Cricetulus griseus: one gene and its partner. The protein of the gene in region 2 binds, or shares a complex with, the protein of the main gene of each other region. Links are inferred from orthologs where the notes say so. Each region holds a gene or a part of one and is shown on either strand. Other genes may lie near its edges.

Evidence for each region.
Region 1: Ahi1 (region 2) and Tmem231 share a complex: the UniProt entries of both Homo sapiens proteins name them as parts of the tectonic-like complex. The link is inferred for Cricetulus griseus from reciprocal best matches to the Homo sapiens genes AHI1 and TMEM231.

Annotation. Positions count from the first base shown.
Region 1 is NC_048596.1:188,336,353-188,340,742, forward strand, and holds the start of Tmem231 (transmembrane protein 231), read right to left. Parts: upstream 3,043-4,390; 5' UTR 2,999-3,042; coding exon 2,860-2,998; intron 2,759-2,859; coding exon 2,589-2,758; intron 1-2,588. UniProt on the Homo sapiens protein: Transmembrane component of the tectonic-like complex, a complex localized at the transition zone of primary cilia and acting as a barrier that prevents diffusion of transmembrane proteins between the cilia and plasma membranes.
Region 2 is NC_048595.1:268,869,325-268,873,574, forward strand, and holds the start of Ahi1 (jouberin), read right to left. Parts: upstream 2,863-4,250; 5' UTR 2,688-2,862; intron 1-2,687. UniProt on the Homo sapiens protein: Involved in vesicle trafficking and required for ciliogenesis, formation of primary non-motile cilium, and recruitment of RAB8A to the basal body of primary cilium.

The DNA of each region.
Region 1 (4,390 bases), on a different chromosome or scaffold from region 2:
AAAATAATTTTATGGTTGGGTTCACCACAACACGAGAAACCATATTAAAGGATCACAGCATTAGGAAGGTTGAGAACCACTGCATTAGAGTCTCAAGAAAAAAAAAATGGGGACAGTTTGGTAGTCCTTGCTTGTAACCCTAGTACTTAGTAAAAGGAGGCAGAAGGATCACCAGTTCATGGCCAACCACAAAGCCCTGGGAGTGTTGCTTCGTGGGCAGAACACTTGCATAGCCATTTTGAGATCCTGGGTTGGCTCACCAGAACCACAGTAAGTAAGTAATAAAAACAGGCATGGTGGGCCCATGACTGCAATCTCAGCTGGGGGCAGGCACAGGAGCTCAAAGTCTTTAGGGTCATCCTCAGCTCCAAGCTACCCTGGGCTACATGCCACACAATCTCAAAATAACAAAGGGGGTATGTGTTTGTGTTGTGGGGGAAGAGAACTGGTCATTTAAAGAATAAAAGAGATCAGTGGTGTTATAAAAACCACATGATTTCCACAGCAAAACCTTTTACCTGTTACTTGATGAGTGTGTGTAGAAATGCTTTCCTAGGTGTTTGATAACATTTGTTTGGGTGTATCTCCATTTCTGTCTGGAGTATTCTCTACTGACACTCCATGAACAAAGCTGGAGCCTGAGTTCCCCTCTTCCTACCAACCCTCATCACATACATCCCTCTCTCAACCCTTCAATTGAGCTAGATTCATATTTCGGTCAGTCAGTATTCATTGTTGTAATCAGGACTTCGCCAGTCCTGTTCACAATGCCGACCGAATTTCCTGCTTTGCATTTTCTTGTGTTTTATTTCCCTGAAGTTAACAATTATTTTATTTGCTTGCTTCGTTTTCTTTGTGTGCATAAAATTTCAACGACATCTTCCATTGACATTTAAAGGTGTATGGTTTAAGTCTGGACAAGCGGTCATGCCTATAGCCCGCTTCTTAGAAGACTGAAGGGGGCTTATTGCTTCAGCCAGCTTGGGCAGGCAAGATAACAATAATCCATCTTGAAAAGAATGAAAAAGGCATAAGGCTTAGTCAAAAATTTGTTATTTAGATATTAATTCTAAGTTCTTTAATCCCAGCACTCAGAAGGCAGAGACAGGCAGATCTCTGTGAATTCGAGGCCAGCCTAGTCTAAGTGAGTTCCAGGACAGCCTCCAAAGCTCCAGAGAAACACTGTCTCAAAAAATAAAAAAATAAAAAAAGTCTAATAGTGAAAAAAATTAAATTGAGGCAAATTATTTAAAAAAAAAAAAAGGGTGGACAGTGAAATAGCTCAGCAGGTAAAGACCCTTGCAGCCAACCCTGAAAATCTGAGCTGGATTCCTGAGATGGTGGAAGGAGAAAACTGACTCCTCCGAGTTGTACTCTGACTTCACCTGCCAGGGCCATGGTTTTGTGAGACAGAATGAGCTTGTGCTTGCTGTGACAAAATACTTACCAACAAATAACTGGTTAAACTTATCATTCTGCCCATGTCATTAAATAATCTAAAGACTTTAAAAATAATAAGGTTGGTTAACAAGTACTGATACCTTTACTTTTCTGTCATCATGTATAAACCTGTACCTTTTTAATCTCACAATGAGTCTACAGGTTAGTGATCAGAGGGAACACACACACACACACACACACACACACACACACACACACACACACATTAAAGAGCAAAGTAATCTGGTTATATTTTGTGTATTGCTATTCACATGACCAACAAGACTTTAATATTTTAAAGCTCTTATTTAGCTGTTGGTGGAAAAGTCCGATTTTTTTCCCCCATCAGCTACACAAGTTTCCTTATAAGGCTAATAACCAGCCATATCTGAAAGGATTCACGTTTGAAAGGAAACTATTTTCAGAATACGAACGGAAAGGGATGCCTGTAAGGGAGCATTTGATTTACGTGAAAGTAAACACTAAACTGCAGGCAGTAAAATGCTTCAGCTTCATGGAGGACAGCTGCAAAGTGGAGCAGAGTGCGGTGAGCCTAACCCTGACAGGCATGGCTTGGCCAAAGCAGGAGCCGAAAACGCAACCAATCAGCGCTTGTCCCCGCCCCTATCCCCGCGTCCAGTCTGCATAAATCCGCTGGCACTTTCTGCCCTTACAGAAGTGGTGATGCTCAAACTCGGCTTTCAATTCCCTAAAGGGGCTTTCACTGCCTCCTTTCCATTCAGAAGTGACCACCACCAGAAACAGGCTGTGCTCTGGCATCTGGACTCTTGTTAGACAAACACCAACTACATGGCTGACTTTCTGGAGATATCTAGAAAGTTAAACATGCGCAGGCCAAAGACTGTGTTTCCAACCCCTGTAGCTCCTTGAGATCCAAGCAGTGAGGCTGGGAGTGTGGCTCAATGATAAAGTGCTCGCAGCGAAGCGCACAGCCCTGAAATCCCAACACTGGGAAGGTGGAGGCCGGAAAACCAGATGTTGAAGGCGGTCTTTGACTATATAGTTTAAGATCAGCTTGCGAGACTTGAGACCTCCCCCTTACTCCCCCCCCCCCGCCCCAATCCAACCTGGGATCCCTGGAACTCGCCCCCATCTTGTTCCCCAGAACCCCGGCGGGAACCACGCACCGACACGAGCGGGACTCGCAGGTGAACCCCCTGCAGCCGGTTGAAGGTGGGGAACGTGCTCCAGGCGAGGAAGGCTCCGGGCTCGGGCCCCAGTAGGGCCACGAGTAGCACCTGGTGCTGGAAGCGCACGCTAGGCTGCTCCTCGTAGCTGCTCCGCTTCAGCCAAAACCCTGCGGGAGACAAGGCGGGTTGGGGAGCCAGGTCAGGAAAGCCGGCCTGGGCCAGCGGGCCGCACCGAGCCATGTGGCTCTTCAAGCCCGGGCAGGCTCACCGTGGCTTCTGAAGGCCACTAGCAGAGGGGGGATGTAGGTGAGCACGGTGGCCAGCAGCAGGAAGAGCGCGGCCTTGGAGCAGAGCCCCGCGCGGTAGCCGCGCTCGGCCGGATGGGAGAAGAGCTGGTACAACGCCATGAGCGCAGGCCGCAGCGCCGAGTCTCCACGGCAACCCACAGCGGCCAGAGGAACCAATAACAAGTAAGCAGTCCTTTAGGAGGGGTGGGGCTAGCGGAAGGCTGTGCAGGATTAGATAGTAGATGCATTTTATGCGGTGCCTGAGGTCCCTTCAAGAAAACAACAAGAAAGAGCCCAGTACTTAGTTTGTTTTTGTTTTTCGAGACAGGGTTTCTCTGTGTAGCTTTGGAGCCTATCCTGGCACTCGCTCTGGAGACCAGGCTGGCCTCGAACTCACAAAGCTCTGCCTGCCTCTTGCTCCCGAGTGCTGGGATTAAAGGCCTGGGACACGACTGCCTGGCTGTATTCTCCAACGTTAGCATTTGCTGATCTATTATGTGAGTACTTACTACTACTATTATTTCAACATGGGAGAAAGTTGGTCTTTTGTTGTTGTTTTCAGTTTGTTTGTTTGTTTTTTTTGAGACAGGATTTCTCTGTGTAACCCTGGCTCTCCTGGAACCCTCTCTGTAGAGCAGGCTGGCTTCAAATTTGCAGAGATCCACCTGCCTCTGCCTCCCAAGTGCTAGGATTAAGGGTGTATGCCACCCTAACCCCCATCCCCCAACCCCTTAAAAAGATCTTAAAATCTTTTTAAGATTTTATTTATTTATTATGTATACAACATTTTGCTTCCATGTATATCTGCACACCAGAAGAGGGCACCAGATCTCATAATGGATGGTTGTGAGCCACCATGTGGTTGCTGGGAATTGAACTCATGACCTCTGGAAGAGCAGTCAGTGCTCTTAACCTCTGAGCCATCTCTCTAGCCCCTTGTTTATCCATTTTGAAATAGGGTTTTACTATGTAGCTTGGGCTGGCCTTCACTTCTCCTTCCTCCAGGTCTGATGCAGGAGCAATCAGGGCTCTTAACCATTGGGTCATCTCTCCAGCCCCCATCCCCCGGCTCCAAACATACATCTTAATTCTGGAAAGGCTGTCCTCTGACCTTCACATGCATGTCATGGTGCTTATCTGCATATGTAAATAAGTAAATAAATATAGTAAAACATGTAATAAGGAGCTGGAGAGAATGGCTGCTCTTTCACAGGATCCTTAAGTCCAGTCACAGGGGACCCAACAACCTCTCTGGGCACTGTATACACATGATACATACACATGCATACAGTCAAAACACCCATATGCATAAGATGAAAATAAAGGGACCAAGTGCTGGTGGCTCATGCTTTTAATCCCAGCACTCGGGAGGCAGAAGCAGGCAGAGCTCTGTGAGTTCAAGGTCAGCCTGGTCTACTGAGTGAGTTCCAGGACAGCCTCCAAAGCTACAGAGAAACCCTGTCTTGAAAAACCAATAATAAATAAATAAATAAATAGATAAATAAATACTGC
Region 2 (4,250 bases):
ACTCTTAGAATTAGTTTCCCATGGCTACCTGTGTGACATCAGACATTCATGCATCTGTTTATTTGTAAACTTTGCCTGTAAACAGTGCTTACTCATTGTTCTATGGGTAATTCTAATAATTATATGATTTACTATAGTTAAATAAGTACCAATAAATGATAGGTACACTTATAATAGGTAATTCTCATGGGGCACTTAGCTTAGTGTGAGGCATACTGACTGGGCATCGAAGGAGTACTAAGCAACTACAAGAATCAAATTAGTTAACAGACTCCTGGGTTCAAATTCCAGTTTCATCTTCCAAGAGACTAATATCTGTAGACCTCAATTTCCTAATTTGTCAAGGGACTAAGAGTAAATCACTCGTAAGATTTTATAAACAGTAAATAAGAATATACAAGCAAAACACTTGGTACAATATTTGTCACATAGCAAGCTTTCAAATATACAAATATAGCAGTAATAACATTGTTTAATAAAAATAATAGCATAATACTATGTTTAGCAGGCAGTAGAATGTATTAAACCAATAGGTAGAGGCTGCAGATTTGGGCATCACCTATATGTAATGGTTTCGGTAACATAAAATGCCAAAAGGGTTAACTTTGAACCCTGCAAAATAAAAACAATTCAAGGAGACTGGTTTCAAAAAATGAGAAAATGGAGTGTTACACAGAGAAAATAATCTATACTGTATGCTGTCAAAAGATGCTGTAAATTTTGAAGGATGCCTACCTACTATAGATTTATAATCAGGAAGTCACATGTGCCATAGCTTTTTACAGAAAGCTGACAGTCACAGGTTTAAAGAATGTGATATGTGAGAGAGGCATGTAGATAAATTCATTCTAGAATTTTCTTACACCTTGGAAGGATAAAAACATCTGGAAAGGAATTTTTCTTTGTTGTGGGGGAGGGGAAGCTGAGGATGTAGCTCAATGGTAGAATGCTTGCCAGGCATCTGCAAGATCCTGAATTCGATACCAGCTCCACAAGATACTCTGTTCTTCATCAATCCATTGATTTCAAACCCTCAACTTTCGTCCTTGTAAAATGCTATATTCTGTGACATCACCCCAACACACACACACACACACATACACACACACACACACACACACACACACACACACACACACACACAGAGCTAGCCTCTGGAGGGCCAGGTCTGTGCCTCAGTTTAAAATGAAAAAGAAGCAATTAACAATGATTCTAGTACCATCCTGTTATTTACTGATAAATGGCTTTGGATAAGGTATTAATTTCACTAGGCCTTGGTTTTTTTAAAAATTTTTTTTAAAATGTCTAAGATCTTAAAATGGCACCTACTTGTTGAAAGGAGAAAAAAATTGCAAAATAAAATAAAAATAAAATAAATCACACATTGCAGGTACTCAGTAAATTTGCTTTATGCCCATTTAGCAAATAATTAAAAAAGAAAACACACGATTAATTTAATATATTTATATAAATCTAATATTGTTTGATATTTTGAGGCACAACTGAATAAACACTAATTTTTTTAAACACTAATATTTAATGATAACACAGCAAATACAGTACAGAAATAATCATCTTTTAATGTTAAGGTATACTACAGAAAAACAGAATAACTGATATTTAATAACATCACCAAAATTTAAGGTTAGGTTTAATAAAACATCTCCAATTTTGTATATATGATTTTATAGGACAATTTTTTGATTTTCAAAATTATTATACACGATATTAGATATCATTATACCATTATTTTAAGATTTCGTCATCCGAAGAAGCTTTACAGAAGCTCCTATGCGAGACTACGCAGAAAAATTAACCGGATTACATTCCCTCCCTGCTCTGGAAAAACATGGAGTACACGCCTACACATCAAGGCAAGAAAAAAAGCATACGCACTTGATGATTTCCTCCTCTGTAACAAATTTTCAAAGAAAAAAAGCAGCATAATTCAACCAATAAGTCAGTGGTATCCTCATAAATAAATAATATTCTAAATACTGTTAAAATTATTGGCATTTGAATTTGTTTCAAATATCCTTAAAAAAAAATTCCCCATCCACCTCATAACAAACATCTTCTCCTGAAAGCTCATGCAGTCATTTATGCAACAGGTGAAAAGCCTGTTAGCATCTTTTTCTTTAAAAAACGGAGAGGGAACATTTCGGGGGATGTTTTTATAGTGACAATAAAGGCAGAGCAAGCATTTGGTAGATTTTTAAGTAGCCTCCGTTCCGGGGAGGTTTACACAGACTGAAATGATCCTATCGATATAACCTGACTCTTCCATATAGGACCCATCGATCACTCTTCATAGATGTAAGTAATTAAGAGAACAGCACGTCCTTTAGTACCAGGATGACATCTAAAAGGAAATAGACTCGGTACGCATCAACTTGAGGGGCATTTAATTAAGCCCGCACTGCGAGCAGAGAGGAAGAGGCTGCATCCCCTCCATCGGAGCACCATGCTGGGCAGCCTGGACCAGGAGAGCGGGAGAGTAGGCAGAAGTAGCTCGCAGCGGCATCCTCGGCCGCGCGCGGGGCGCAGGCCAAGCTCGACCTGCATGGCGCAGTGCTGCCCCGCGCTCCCGGCCTCCAGCAGCCCCCTCGCCGCCCCCGAGAGGCCGGCCGGCAGGGCCGAGCGCCCGCACCCCGGCTCCCGACACAGCGCGCCCGCAGGGTACTCACAGAGAGGAGCGCGCAGCGCGGCCTGTCCCGCCCGAGCGACAGCCCGGCAGTGCGAAGCGGCTCCCCGCGCCCAGCTAGGCGGCCCGACGGAGACTCCGGCACGGCAGCCTCAACCGCTGGCGACGCGCGCTTTGAAGAGGGGCCCTGGTGCCGCAGTGCGGGCTGCGCGCCGCCCGCTGACGTCAGGCTCGCCTCTGCTGCCGTTGCCTAGGTAACTGGGTCCGGAGGCCCAAGCTCCGGGCTGGACCTAGGCCCCGCCCCCTCCCCGGCGGCAGCCGAGCGCTGTCGGCTGCTCGTGCCTGCGGGCTCTTGAGAGTCCGGCGTGCGCGCGCTCTGACGCGGGCGCGCGCGGGAGCCCGAGGTTCCGCCCGTGGAGCCGGAAGTGGGTCAGGAGTGCTCGTTCTCTCCGAGGGCAATATGCCATCGCCTCGGGAGAAGCGTCATGCCTCAGGACTGGAAGCGCTGTGGGGAGAAGCAGAGGTGGAAGCTGACGGGCCCGCGCCCAGCGTAGAAAACATACAAGAATGAATAGGAATGAATGAATGGGTGAATGAATGCAGTGCAGTCCAGGAAGACTTGTCACCCCCTACATCGTGCGCCCACAAAATGAATCGTGCTTTTAAGCGTGAATGAGGATCCCCACGAGATTGCAATCCCGCTGGCGCTGTTGACTGTGGTGAAAACAAGAATTAAGAACGTCACGTTTTCCAACGCCCCCCTCCCCCTTTGCTCGATTCTTCTTGAGGCGCCATCTTTGGCTGTGAGTCACAGCAGGAGTGGAAAAATACTAGGTGCAGCATTCGCTCCACTAGAATTAGAGGCCATTTTCTGCAGCTGTCCTCCCACACAACCTGTTGTGTCCTTTGTGTGGTGACAGTAGTGCGTGCTTTTGTTTGGTGGCCAGCTTTTCCATTCTCACTGGTATTATCATACCTAACAAAACATCTCATTTGGTTCTCAAAGTGCAATGAGGAGACCAGGGGAAAAATCACTAATCTAAAGCCTGCCTAACGTTGAGTTGCTGGGTTTTCCACTGAAAAATCTCAATTTTCCCCTTCTGAGTATCTTGATTTAAGCTATCACCATCTCTTCAGTGTTTTAGCAAGAAACCCTTAGGTGGTTTCTTAATTTTTTTCCCCCAAACCTATATTTTCAGTGTCCTCACTGTATATAGCTTATCCATCATTACCATTGCCTAAGGCAAGCTGCCAGTATATCTTATGGGGAACTGGCCTCATTACCTGTGTCCTGACTCCAGTTTTGACTAATTTTCTTTCACTCCACTATCAGGCTAACCTTACTAATGTGAAGCTACTAATGCTACCATCCTCTTTTTCTTTTTTGTTTGTTGATTTACTTATTTTTATTTATTTTTGGTTTTTCGAGACAGTGCTTCTCTGTGTAGCTTTGGAGCCTATCCTGGCACTTGCTCTGGACACCAGGCTGGCCTCGAACTCACAGATATCCGCCTACCTCTGCCTCCAGAGTGCTGGGATTAAAGGCGTGCGCCACCAACGCCCGGCTTTATTTATTTTATTTTATTTATTTATTTATTTATTTTGT